Kluyveromyces lactis: one gene and its partners. The protein of the gene in region 1 purifies or fractionates together with the protein of each later gene. This does not show direct contact. Links are inferred from orthologs where the notes say so. Each region holds a gene or a part of one and is shown in the gene's direction. Other genes may lie near its edges.

What was found.
Region 2: the proteins of MAF1 (region 1) and RPC40 purify together in Saccharomyces cerevisiae (affinity purification with western blotting; 4 studies listed by BioGRID, with this or other methods). This does not show direct contact. The link is inferred for Kluyveromyces lactis from reciprocal best matches to the Saccharomyces cerevisiae genes MAF1 and RPC40.
Region 3: the proteins of MAF1 (region 1) and RET1 purify together in Saccharomyces cerevisiae (affinity purification with mass spectrometry; 4 studies listed by BioGRID). This does not show direct contact. The link is inferred for Kluyveromyces lactis from reciprocal best matches to the Saccharomyces cerevisiae genes MAF1 and RET1.

What each region holds. Positions count from the first base shown.
Region 1 is NC_006041.1:1,556,817-1,560,835, reverse strand, and holds MAF1 (RNA polymerase III-inhibiting protein MAF1), read left to right. Parts: upstream 1-2,166; coding exon 2,167-3,156; downstream 3,157-4,019. Other genes in the region: DSF2 (Dsf2p), read left to right, coding at 1-1,259; putative DNA-dependent ATPase RAD57, read right to left, coding at 3,517-4,019. UniProt on the Saccharomyces cerevisiae protein: Mediator of diverse signals that repress RNA polymerase III transcription. Inhibits the de novo assembly of TFIIIB onto DNA.
Region 2 is NC_006040.1:1,252,122-1,256,428, reverse strand, and holds RPC40 (DNA-directed RNA polymerase core subunit RPC40), read left to right. Parts: upstream 1-2,401; coding exon 2,402-3,406; downstream 3,407-4,307. Other genes in the region: KLLA0_D14905g (serine/threonine-protein kinase), read right to left, coding at 1-364; U4/U6-U5 snRNP complex subunit PRP31, read right to left, coding at 645-2,048; GLD1 (Gld1p), read right to left, coding at 3,905-4,307. UniProt on the Saccharomyces cerevisiae protein: DNA-dependent RNA polymerases catalyze the transcription of DNA into RNA using the four ribonucleoside triphosphates as substrates.
Region 3 is NC_006042.1:96,652-102,103, forward strand, and holds RET1 (DNA-directed RNA polymerase III core subunit RET1), read left to right. Parts: upstream 1-1,679; coding exon 1,680-5,108; downstream 5,109-5,452. Other genes in the region: TFIIH/NER complex subunit TFB2, read right to left, coding at 1-1,005; MEI5 (Mei5p), read right to left, coding at 5,192-5,452. UniProt on the Saccharomyces cerevisiae protein: DNA-dependent RNA polymerase catalyzes the transcription of DNA into RNA using the four ribonucleoside triphosphates as substrates. Second largest core component of RNA polymerase III which synthesizes small RNAs, such as 5S rRNA and tRNAs.

The sequences.
Region 1 (4,019 bases):
AGAAGAGTACCGCGTCCAACTCATTCCTTTCGTTCCCGTTCGAGGTTTCAACACCACCTAGCAAGGACTTTAAGAAAGGGCACCAATCGAAGAAATCATCATCATTTTCATTTAAGAATTTGTTCAAATCACCAAAGGTAAGTCATCACCAACCTGAAACTCCAATAAATGATTATTCATCGCCAATGAGCAACAAGACGATTGTGGATACTCCTGGAAAATCTACTTCCGTACCAAATACACCGACATCTAAGTTCAAGTTCCCACATCAGCTCAATCTTGGTGAAGAAAATGAACGCTATGACAAGGAAGAGAACACTGTCTCACTTTATAAGGACAAGAATGAATCACAAACTACGAATGTAAATCAAAGCACCAATCATAAACGTAGTCTCTCCAAAGGAAGAGGAATCTTTTCGCATATCACTCATGCAAATAATCAAAGATCTGAACCACAAACATCATCCTCTTCGAGCTCCAAACAGAGCTCAGGGTCTGCTTCGAGATCACAACATAGTTATAAAATGTTATTGGATCCAAGGCCAACGATTTTACCAGTAACCACTTTAGGTGGTAGAAAACCTTCTACAACCTCTTCCTCGTCCAATTCATCTACTGCATCTAGGAACGACCGTGAACCTGTCGTCCAACCATCATCTACATCACAAGGTGAACTAGTGCAGAGAAATAACTCTAACAAACGTCTCATTGCAAAACAACGAATCAATATTGCCATTGAATTAAGAAACAAAGGTGACCTGAAAGGGTCAACTGCACATCTCAAAGAAGCGTGTAAATTGGAGGACAGAACAGCTTTTTTGCTGTATGGTCTTGCCTTAAGATACGGGTCTGGTACCGAAATCGATTTACACGAATCATTTAACTGGATTAGAGGTGCAACGGGTATCAAGGATTTCAAAACCAGCGTATTACATGCAAATATAGATCCATTTGAGATACGTGAACCGCTTCCATCTCTACAGAATGACGCAGCTGCCCCCGCTCTGTACGAATGTGGTATAGCTTATATGAAGGGATACGGTGTCACTGCTCATGAATGGAAGGGTCTGAAATGTTTGGAATATGCAGCATCGTTGGGACACGTTGATTCTATGTGTTTATGCGGTACCATTTGGTCAAAGACGACTCCAAATAGGAAAAAAGATTTAAGACGAGCAGCTAAATGGTTCAGACTCGCAAAGGATCAAGGAGCAGATCTAATTGGAGCAGACTGGATCTATAAAACGGACTATCTATAGTTATCGTTCACTCACAGAGCAAGCTCCTCTCTAACAACATTTATTTCACATAGTAACATTAATTTCTAATATCATAATACTTTAATTCTTTACCGCATAAAAAGTTGTGGTTGCCACGGATTTGTACATACAGGAACATACATAAAGCAACTTCTTTTTGACTATAGAATGTCAATGTTAGCTTGGAGATGGTAGCTTCTGTTCAATGGTGCTGTCTGCTTTCAACTCACCTAGCTGTGGCCTCATAACTGAGGGTTACCCGACCTTTTAATGCGCGTTCCCGTTTCTCGAAGTAACATGTGCTGAGTTGAAATTATCACAAAGACCGATAACGCTGCCCTTACAATGAGTTTTCGAACAGCCAACCATAACAAGCTTGATAGGAGGCCGTCAATTTAGTTGAATCTAGCACAGTGTGTCTTTGAGCTCTCAAGAATACTGTTTTATTTTCAAACGTTTCACCGCTTCCAATTAACCTGCAATAATGAAGGTATGCGAATAATCGTGTTTTAATATAGTTCTGACATATTCATAATGAACAAACGGAATACTAACCTTATATTAACGGCATGTATGTATATTTTTTGCATCATGTGTTACTTAACATCTTTTAAAGTTTATCGATGAATTTGATTTAGAGGTTGTTAACCAGGCTCTTAATTTCGAGACCTCGGACTGCAGTATCACAGGTGGTTGCGACATTTTCACGACAAAGCCCGTAGCTTCAGATAAGAAGCTTTATAAGACCATAGATCGTCATTTGGAGTCCTTACTTCAAGAAAGTGAGTCGCTTACTGCTGCAGCTCACAGGAGGCAATCTTTTGACGAAAAGAACAGAACTATCGATGAAAATGTGCAAGAGCAACAGAGCCCAAACCCTAATTCATTCTGGGAACAAAAGAGAAGGATGTCTGTTAGCGAGAATTCGAGTGGGACAAATAGTTCGTCACCTATAATAAAATCTAATAAGTTGAACGACCAAAATTTGAAGGAATTCGTGCTGTCAACTGACAGTACAAATTTTGTCACGAATGGACACAACAATAGTAATAGTAGTACCACCAATGCTAACTCCAATAACGGATATTTGAGTTCATCATCAATGGAATCGGGGCCTTTAGGGATCGCTTCACAACGTCCCAGTTTCCTAAGGAGGACTAGCAGTGCTGGAAGCATTGCAAGCAACCATACCGATACTTCGAAAAGAAGACCTAGCACAAGTGGTTCAGCGAATGAAATACAAAATACTTCATACCAACAGAGGAGGAGGTCATCGGTACAAGGAAGAGACAACGTAAATATTGGACCGTTTGGACCTATCAACGAAACTGCTAGCAGGAGAGCTTTCGCGTATCTAATAGCCATTTTGAATGCGTCCTATCCGGATCACGATTTTTCGTCATTAGAGCCCACCGATTTCGTGAAATGCACCAAGAAAAGTTTCATCTCGAAGTTCGAAAATACCTTGATATCTTTAGGAAAACCACCTCAGGAATGGATCTGGGAAACGATCAACGGACATATGGATATCAACGATTGCGCTTTCTATCAATATGTCCCTCAAAAATCGTTTCTTGAAGATGAGCCTGGCCATCTTTGGTCATTGATGTGGTTTTTGTTCAATAAAAAAAGGAAAAGAGTCGCATATGTTTATCTAACAGCATGCCGTTTGAAAGGAACTCCCTCTGTTGGAAATAGTGTCATATTGGCGGATGACGAAGATGAAAATTCAAGTAAACTAGAATCAGAACGTAAACAGAGAAGGAAATTGACGTTAGATAACGACAACGATTTTGAAGGCGAATATGATTTAACTTATGAGGAGAATGCTATAATTGATGATGATGAGGGCATCAACGAAGATTTCAAGGATGAAGCCATGGATGATCTTAACTGATTATCATTACATTTTCGAACCAACTTATCGCTTTCCTGTATTTTTATTGAATTACCTTCCCCAAGTTCACGATAGCTAAAGCAGTGCATTATTTGGATGTTGTAACCTATAGTATTTCTTCTTGCTGTATCATTTTTTTCTAACTCTCTCTGTCTTTCTACCTATGTTTTATTATTAACACTATTGTTCTTATTTCAAATATAAATATAAAATCATGACAGTCCTTCTATGACGTAAACTGAACCTTTCCATACAAAATAAATACGCAACACGTAACACTTTATATGATTCAAAGTTGCTTAATTATATTTCTCCATATCTTTGAGTTTTCTTGACAGGAGTTAAAGCGCAATTGATATATCACTGTACCGAAATAACACCTTCTCCACTAATCGCAAAATTCATTTCACCTTTCACCGCATAAGTCGAAAACACTAGCTTCAGATTTCTCTGCACTTGCCAAAATTGAGAGGTATCTGTTGTATTGTTGTAATTGAATTCCCCCGTGCGTACCATAGGTGATGCTTTATATCGTTTCTCCAGTTTTATTCTTGTCATTAAATGGTTAGCCCAAGTTAAACCGAGATTTGGTACCTTCGTGTCAACTTCTCGTTTCCTTCTTGATAACAGGAAAGGTGCGGATGGTTGGGGCTGTGACGGTACCACAGGGGTTTTACTTTGAGTAGGCTGAGGTGAGTTTTGTTGAGAGATAACATTATTCCGCAGCGCTTCAGTCCTCAATGCTGCGACAGACTGCGCAGGGTCTTTATTATTTGTATCTGGAACACTAGCCGGAACATTCTGTTGTAATTTCCTTGCAACCTGGTCTACAATTAACGTATAGTCCTCATCGTCACTCAATA
Region 2 (4,307 bases), on another chromosome or scaffold:
CTCTTCTGCTAATCACATAGTCGAACATATCACAATAATAATCCAAGAAATACATCTGACACACGGAAACCAATCTCTTGGATTTAGTCTTTGAGGACTTCTTATAGAAATCTTTGGGTAGTTTCTTTGGCGACTTGGTAATGTCTGCCGTCAAATCTCCCTGAGTATCATCGTCGATATCCATGAGCGAGTTTTCAGGGTTTTTTACTATCGATCTAGTAGGAGACGGAGAACCACGTATTCTCGTTGGAGTGCTTGGGGGATCTAGCATAACTTTAGCATCCGTATCAAAACTGAAATTGACCATATCGTCGACCAATGCGTCGACCTCCTTGTGACGACCATTCGCATCTCTTGTAAACATTTCTTATTTTAAACTGTGTGATTGAAGTATGTAAATAAAACCGTTAGTGCTTCAGGTCAGACACGTTACTTCTGACTTGACACAATGAATTATCGGCAGATCTGATCGAATAAGAGACCCTAAAGTTCAATGGTTAAGTTGTGTTCTTTGTTTAAAGTTTTCAATTCGAACATTGGATCATCTTTTTGTGTTTTGGTTTTGCCATAATAGGAATCGTAATTACAGATCTATGAATAGACATATACAGGGTATAAAAGGTACACGGCAGAACTATGGTGTCTCACAACCGTGGTTGTTTGCTGGTGGCGGGGTCCGTAGCTTGTGGGTGCTCTGCACTACGTTTGAGCTTTTCGGACCTCTCATCCTGTAGGAAACTGTGCGTGTTTTTAGTCTCTTGATCTAATCTTAAACGCATAGATTTACGCATTTTGGTCTTATTGAAAGAGGACAATGCGGAAACGTTCTTTGAATCGGCCATCCCGAACCCTATTTCTTCTCCGTATGGGTCCATGGTGGTCTGTTCCTCTTTACCGAACTCCATTCTGTTTTGCATTTGCCTTAGATGCGACATCTTGAACTGTTCTTTGTACTTACGGAACCTTCTACCAGCTCTTTTCTTCTTTGGAGCGTCTTCTGGGATCGGCAACGGCTTGATGTTACTGATATTCGGCGGATCTATTATCTTCTTGAGTTTTTCAACGATTTCATGCCTCCATTTCAAGCCCAGCTTCGAGGCATCTGAGTTCCCATCTGAATTCCCATCTGGGTTAATGACTTGATTCCCCATGGTGCAATCCGCTCTCGCAGCAAGAGCAACCTTGGCAGAGACCATTCTAAGCGCCTGTTTCTGGAACTCAGGAGGCTGTGTTTGTACCACGTCTGTATAGAATAGATATCCCTTTTGTCGTACCCCAGAGATATCTAACGATTTGCCATGCAACGTTTTGTCCTGGCCAATGGATGCCAAATTACAACTGGGAACCACACTTAGTTCTTTAACACTACCACAATGTGTTACCAGTTTAGCTGCAGTATCAGGTCCCAATAAAGCACATAAGTTTGGAGCTACCATTTGTATTCTTGTCTCAACATAGTGTGAGACGTTGTCCCGTAAGTTGTACAGAATATCGAACCAATGGATGGCCTTGGAGAGGAGATCCTTATCAATTCGAGCACCCTCTTTGAAATCTGTCTTTAGAGACATAGATACCACAAGGGTTTCCTCCTTCGATAGCACTTGGTCTAATTGCACGTTGGGAATATCCTGTTGCAGCATCTTGACCACGTCGACGTATTGTTTCCTTTCAGGGACAATAGTTTCCAACCCAGGGAACTTGGCCTTGTAGGTATCTACAATGCATTGAAACACCATGGAAAGCTCTGTATCGAATAAAGGCATCAATTGGCCCAGTTTTATGACATTGTAAGGCTCTGTCGTATGGTTTGTTGCATCTCGTATTATAGTTTCGTGCTTGGCAAGTTGGATGAGGTCATCTAAATCCGCGCCTTGGTGCCAGAATTGCGCGTGAAAGTCAGATATTAGGTTGCTAACACTAGGAGAGGGTAAAATATCCGATTCTGTGGCTATACCACTGGTTATACCACTGGTTACACCACTTAACCCATCATCCAAGCTTTCCTCATCGCTGACACTTCCATAATCTTCGTCATCTAAAAGGTCCATTATCACCTTGTGAAAGAGTAAGACAGGGGAATATGGTTATCCAGTTACAATCCAACTGTAAAATACCACATACTGAACTAACTGAGGATGGTCAAAAGAGCAGTAATCGACTAGTACCTGCTCTCGAGTAGCTATCTCATCGCATTTCTACCAATCTTTAATCATATATAATCACTCTATACGATGTGATCTTTTCTTTTCCAAAAATTTTTCAGTTCTTTAAAGCGATGAGATGAGCTTGAGATGAGGTATCTACACCGATGAGACGGACCTTGACCAGTGTCATAGGGCTTTTCTGAGGTCGTTTGAGAGCTCAAGAGGTAGCATAAACGTAGCAATACAATTGAAAAAGGATGTCCAATATCGTTGGTGTTGAATATAACCGTGTGACGAACACAAGTTCAACAGATTTCCCTGGATTTAGTTCGGATCAAGACAATTCATGGGACTTGGAGAAGTTCAAGGAAACTTTTGACGTACAAATCGAGAGTTTGGATGAGCGTGAAGTGAATTTCGATTTGGTTCATGTCGACACATCGATTGCTAACGCTTTCCGTCGTATTATGATCTCAGAAGTACCATCTGTCGCTCCAGAATACGTCTACTTTTTTAACAATACGTCTGTGCTACAGGACGAAGTGTTGGCGCATAGAATCGGGTTAGTGCCATTGAAGGTGGATCCAGATATGTTGAGTTGGGTGGACACGTCATTGCCCGAATCTGAAAGGTTTACAGATGAAAATACGATAGTGATGTCGTTGAACGTGAAATGTACCAGGAACCCAGATGCTCCAAAGGATTGTGAAGACCCCAAGGTTCTTTATAGAAACGCGCATATCTATGCTAGGGACCTTAAGTTTGAGCCTCAGGGGAAACAGGTGGAACAATTTGCCAAGTGTCCCGTGGTGGCAGCGGATCCAGATATCTTGTTGGCCAAGTTGAGACCAGGTCAAGAGATTTCGTTAAGGGCACATTGTATTCTAGGTATCGGTGCAGACCATGCCAAGTTCTCTCCGGTGTCGACAGCTAGTTATAGACTATTACCACACATCCAGATCACACAGCCTATCACCGGTGATGATGCCAAGAAATTTGTGAAATGTTTCCCTAAAGGTGTCGCAGATGTCAACGAGAAGGGTGAAGCTTATATCAAGGATCCAAGGAAGGATACCGTGTCCAGAGAGGTGTTGAGACACGATGAGTTCCAGGGGAAGGTTAAGTTGGGTAGGGTGAGAGACCACTTCATCTTTAACGTGGAGAGTTCTGGTGCTATGACACCGGAAGAAATCTTCTTCAAATCGGTCAGGATCTTGAAGAACAAGGCGGAATACTTGAAGAACTGTCCAATCTCACAATAAGAAGCCAATTCGCATGTTCTCTATTTAATATCATCCACTCCCTTCCATACACAGACAAACCGTGCATCATAATTCCATTTCTTTCATTCCCTGTATCATACGCATTAAGCCACTCAGTGAACAGATTAGGCACTTATATATATTCATATATAAAGAAGCCACTACATCTAAACTAGTTTAATGTACATTTGTTTTTAGATTCAACTGTGTTACACCATCGCATCTACATTTGTCGGTTCAAACGTCTCCTGATCCTGCGCCATTGGCCGTGCTTTGGTTATAAGATTTTCGATCATGGCTTTTGGATCCACTTCGAGTATCAAGACGTTACCATTATATCCGTCACTCAGATCACTCTGGGCTTTCTGTGTATAGGTTTCGTCCGCGACTTCGTGATCTTTGAATGGTGAGATGGATAGTACAGTTACGAGGAATAGCCCTACTTGAAAGAATAGAATTAGCAGTTGGTAGAAAAGGTACGATGCGTTACCCTTAAAATTACTCGAGGGCACTCGTTCTCCAATATACTGGGTGAACCCAGTGCCTTCTCAATTCCCCCTCTATTATGCCTGTTCCATGGTTAAACGGCGATGGGTAGTTTTCTAGATGTGATATCCCAGGCATTTTGAAGTGCTCCAAATTCTTCTCGAAGTCTATTGGCCATATGATTCCTGCGAAAATGACAAAGAAGTTGAGCAGTAATGTGGTGTGTATTAAGACCAATTCAATTCTCTTGAAAGCCTTCCTGAGTGCAACGTTCGGATCAGTTCCGTCGGTCGCTTGGGCCCTGTAGTAGTTCATGAATGCCAGGAGTCGAGTATCGGTTGGGTATGGTGCATTTAAAAGTGATTGAAGCGCAAGCCGTATCACAAATAGTACGATGTTACCTGCAAATTTGATT
Region 3 (5,452 bases), on another chromosome or scaffold:
ATATGAATATAGTTTGAAGTTAGTCTCTATAATCAAGGCACCGTCTTGAGTTCGCTCTGTAGTTTCATCTTGTCCACTGTCTCCTTCTACAGCTGTTGTTTCATTAGCTTTATTTAACACGCTGTCTAGAGCGACTGAGGCACTTCTGAATGCTTTTGTGTCGGACGTCAACAACGTGGCTAATCTGGTAGGATAAAACTTTGCATAATCCGATTGATTTTGATAGATTAATCCGTAATCTCTCATATCCTGTAACATTGTTCTCTGCGTATTACTTAGTTGATCGCACTTATACGCCTTCCCTAGCTGTAATGCACCTAGCATGAAAATGAAATTTAGAACATCCACGGGATCCATCTGTAAACTTTCTGCCATCTTCAAATATTGAAGAAGAAGAGTCCACATCTGTGCATTGACATCTTGCAAGAGAAATTGGAAACCTTGGTTAGTAATTTTGAGTTCGCCATATTCTGCCTCTTCCATTAGACCACTATGCTGCAATAAGTCTAGAACCTTTCCACCAGGAGTGTTTGTATTCGGTGTTCCCACCATGTAATGCAAGATTGTTTCCCACTTTTCTGCACTATACTGGTCCAAAGTAGCTGTAGATACGGGATTGGTATCATCATCCGCAACATCACCAAAAGAGTTATTGATTTCACCACCAGTTAATACATTTTTGAAAGATTTCTTGAAAATTGGATTCAAACGAATCAATAGAGGTTGTTTACTCTCACCTTCTATTATAAGATTCAAGGATTTCATCGATTTAATAGAGTATTGTAACTGGTATTTCGCATCTGGCTTGACCCATTTATCTAAATCTCTAAGCGAGACATCGTGGTCCTGAAACAGCATCGACATAATGAAGAATTTTGCCATGGGAGAAAGCAATCTATAAATTGCCAAACATGTCGCTGGAGACTCATATAATCTTGATTGGACTTGCTCTGGAAGACCTTCTAGGTAGTCATTAACGGTGGTCTTGAAAAGATTCAGACTCATAGTATTGAAAATATGCAGCTCAAGGCCTCTTGAAATAGCAAGAGATTAGAACCAAGTGAGGAGATCAACAATTTGGTCACGTCAATCGATAATGTTATTTCAGCCTAATACGATTTGCTGCATTCGAACGATGCAATGCATCCATGATATCCGATTTGGAAAAGCTCATCTGAATCAATAGTACTTAAGGTTGATACCATGTCAAATCCAGACATTCGCATATTGAAAGTAAAATATATGTCACGTGTATATATATCATGTAACACGAAGAAATGTATCTTGCACGTGACTGAAAATTTGTTGATGACAGAAGAAATTTCTTTTCACTCTGTCAGATCAATTTTGGAAAATGAAAAAGATCAAATCAAGCTCATCTCGAATTTGAAATAATCGAAATACGCCAATGATTAATGTAGATGAGCTCTGTCAATATTGATGGAAACAAAGAGAAGTGCATTTATTGGCAGTTAGTGACTGTACTGATTTGCTGACCTCAACAAAGATTTGATTAAGTGAAATTTACTGGTTGGCTCCTTCTTTTTTCACTTTCAGTAGAGTAGCTTTGTTTGGTCTTTTTGCCTCTTTTCTAGATATTTTGTTTGATTAACTGTTTGGAACACTAATTAAGTTTGGAAAGGGTAGCTTTCAAATATCCTGATTGAATATTCTCTAAAATGAACCACACTGACTCCCATAATCCTGATGGCTATGAAAAAGATGAAGCGTTCGATGCTCTTTTGAAACCCGTCTTCAAAGGTAAAAAGCTGACTGACGAGATCAACACTGCCGAAGATAAATGGAATCTTTTGCCTGCCTTTTTAAAGGTGAAAGGGTTAGTAAAGCAGCATTTGGACTCTTTTAATTACTTTGTGGATGTTGATTTGAAGAAGATCATCAAAGCTAATGAGGTTATATTATCTGATGTCGATCCAGAGTTTTACTTGAAGTACATTGACATTAGAGTAGGATACAAACATAACGGCAACAAAGCTATTATGACCCCACCACATGAATGTAGATTACGAGACATGACATACAGTACTCCTATCTTTGTTGATATTGAATACACCAGAGGAAGATCAATTGTGTTGCATAGAGATGTGGAGATCGGTAGAATGCCCATAATGTTGAGATCAAACAAATGTATATTAGATGGTGCAGCAGAAAATGATATGGCCAAATTAAATGAATGTCCCTTAGATCCAGGTGGATATTTCATTGTTAATGGTACTGAAAAAGTCATCTTAGTTCAAGAACAATTATCTAAGAATCGTATCATTGTGGAAGCAGATGAGAAGAAAAACATCGTACAAGCTTCTGTTACATCTTCCACCCACGAAAGAAAATCTAAGACTTACGTAGTCACCAAGAATGATAAAATATACTTAAAACATAACTCTATCGCAGAAGAGGTTCCAATTGTAGTTGTTTTGAAGGCTTGTGGTGTTGTATCTGATTTAGAAATCATGCAGTTAGTTTGTGGTAATGATAGCAGTTATCAAGATATCTTCGCGGTGAATCTCGAAGAAGCTGCCGAACTAAAAATATACACGCAACAACAAGCCTTAGAATTCATTGGTACTAAAGTTAAAACTGTCAGAAGACAGAAACTTTCCATCTTGCAAGAAGGTATCGAGGCCATCGCTACGACAGTCATTGCTCATCTGACAGTGGAAGCTTTAGACTTTAGAGAAAAAGCATTATACATTGCAATGATGACTCGTAGAGTCGTAATGGCTATAGATAACCCAAAGATGGTTGATGACAGAGATTATGTTGGTAACAAGCGTTTAGAATTGGCTGGTCAATTGATGTCATTGTTATTTGAAGATTTATTCAAAAAGTTCAATAATGATTTCAAGGCAAACATCGATAAAGTCTTAAAGAAACCAAATCGTGCTGAAATGTATGATGCCTTACTAACCATTAACGTACATTCCAACAACATTACTACAGGTATGAATCGTGCAATTTCAACTGGTAACTGGTCTTTGAAACGTTTCAAGATGGAAAGAGCAGGTGTTACACATGTCTTATCCAGACTTTCTTATATTTCAGCATTAGGTATGATGACAAGAATATCCTCTCAATTTGAGAAATCTAGAAAAGTTTCAGGTCCTAGAGCCCTACAACCTTCTCAATTTGGTATGTTATGTACCTCAGATACTCCAGAAGGTGAGGCCTGTGGTTTGGTTAAAAATTTGGCATTAATGACCCATATCACCACCGATGATGAAGAAGAGCCTATAAAGAGGATTTGTTACTTGTTGGGTGTGGAAGACATAAGTTTAATTGACAGTGCTTCAATTCATTTAAATTATGGTGTCTACTTAAACGGTACAATCATAGGGACAACTAGATTTCCTACAAAGTTTGTGTCTCAATTCAGATGTTTAAGAAGAACTGGTAGAGCGTCAGAGTTCATCTCTATATATACCAATACACATCAAAAAGCAGTTCATATTGCTACTGATGGAGGAAGAATCTGTAGGCCGTTGATAATTGTTTCGAACGGGCAGTCTTCTGTTACTGCAGACCATTTAAGATCTCTTCTGGCTGGAAAATTACAATTCGATGATTTCTTAAAACTGGGTTTAGTCGAGTATCTCGACGTTAATGAAGAAAACGACTCGTTCATTGCATTATATGAAAAAGATCTATCTGAGAATATTACGCATCTAGAAATTGAATCATTTACTGTCTTAGGTGCAGTTGCTGGTTTGATTCCATATCCTCACCATAATCAGTCTCCACGTAACACTTATCAATGTGCGATGGGTAAGCAGGCTATTGGTGCAATTGCATACAATCAATTCAAAAGAATTGACACCTTATTGTATCTAATGATATACCCTCAACAGCCTATGGTGAAAACCAAAACGATTGAATTGATCGATTACGATAAACTTCCGGCAGGTCAAAATGCTACGGTGGCAGTTATGTCCTACTCCGGTTATGATATCGAGGATGCGTTAGTTTTAAATAAAGCGTCCATTGACAGAGGTTTTGGACGTTGTGAAACTCGTCGTAAGAACACCACCGTGTTGAAGAGATATCCAAATCATACTCAGGATATTATTGGTGGTATGAGAGTTGATGAAAATGGTGAGCCTATATGGCAACACCAAGCATTAGGCCCTGATGGGCTAGGTGAAGTTGGAATGAAGGTTGAAAGTGGACAAATTTATGTCAATAAATCTGTTCCAACTAATGCGTCGGATAGCATTCTAACTCAAACACAAGCTCAGTACAAGGAGACTCCAGTGGTATATAGAGCTCCAGAACCTTCTCATATTGATCAAGTTATGATGTCAGTTTCTGATAATGACCAGGCTTTGATCAAAGTTCTATTGAGACAAAACAGAAGACCTGAATTGGGTGATAAATTCTCATCGAGACATGGTCAAAAGGGTGTCTGTGGTATCATCGTAAAACAAGAAGATCTTCCTTTCAACGATCAAGGTGTAGTACCAGATATTATCATGAACCCACATGGTTTCCCATCTCGTATGACCGTTGGAAAAATGATTGAGTTGATATCAGGTAAAGCTGGTGTCTTGAATGGTACCCTTGAATACGGTACCTGTTTCGGTGGATCTAAGTTAGAAGACATGTCAAAGATTTTAGTCGATAATGGTTTCAACTATTCCGGTAAGGACATGCTTTATTCTGGTATTACTGGTGAATGTTTACAAGCTTACATTTTCTTTGGTCCAATCTACTATCAAAAGTTGAAGCATATGGTTCTTGACAAAATGCACGCAAGAGCCAGAGGTCCAAGGGCAGTGTTAACGCGTCAACCAACAGAAGGTAGATCTAGAGATGGTGGTCTAAGATTGGGTGAAATGGAACGTGACTGTGTTATCGCATACGGTGCTTCACAACTATTGTTGGAAAGATTAATGTTAAGTTCTGATGCCTTTGAAGTCGATGTTTGTGAAAAATGTGGTTTGATGGGTTATAGTGGATGGTGTACAAGCTGTAAAACCGCTGAACATGTTGTCAAAATGACTATTCCTTATGCAGCCAAACTTTTATTCCAGGAATTGCTTGCGATGAACATTGCACCAAGATTGAAATTAGGCGATGTCTTTGAAGCTTGACTGTAAGCATTTTCTGACGATTCTAGTAGTAACATTATTTATTCAGTATTACTTATAAAGCATCATTTTCACTTGAATTTTCATTATTGATTAGTATATACCATATCATAGTCAACTTTTAGTTTAGCCGCTAGCTCCTGCAAAGTCATTTCATCATTATCTTCTTTCCTTAGTTCATTCTCAAATTTCTGGAGTTCGTTCTGTTTCATTTCTTCTGCTTCTCTCACTTTCTCATCCATCCGTTCCCTGATTTCTTCCTTTTCTTCAATTGGCAAATGAAAGAAGTCCGGAGATTCCAAGATCTCTTCCATTTGTTGTTGAATGCCGTCATCGTATTGATACTC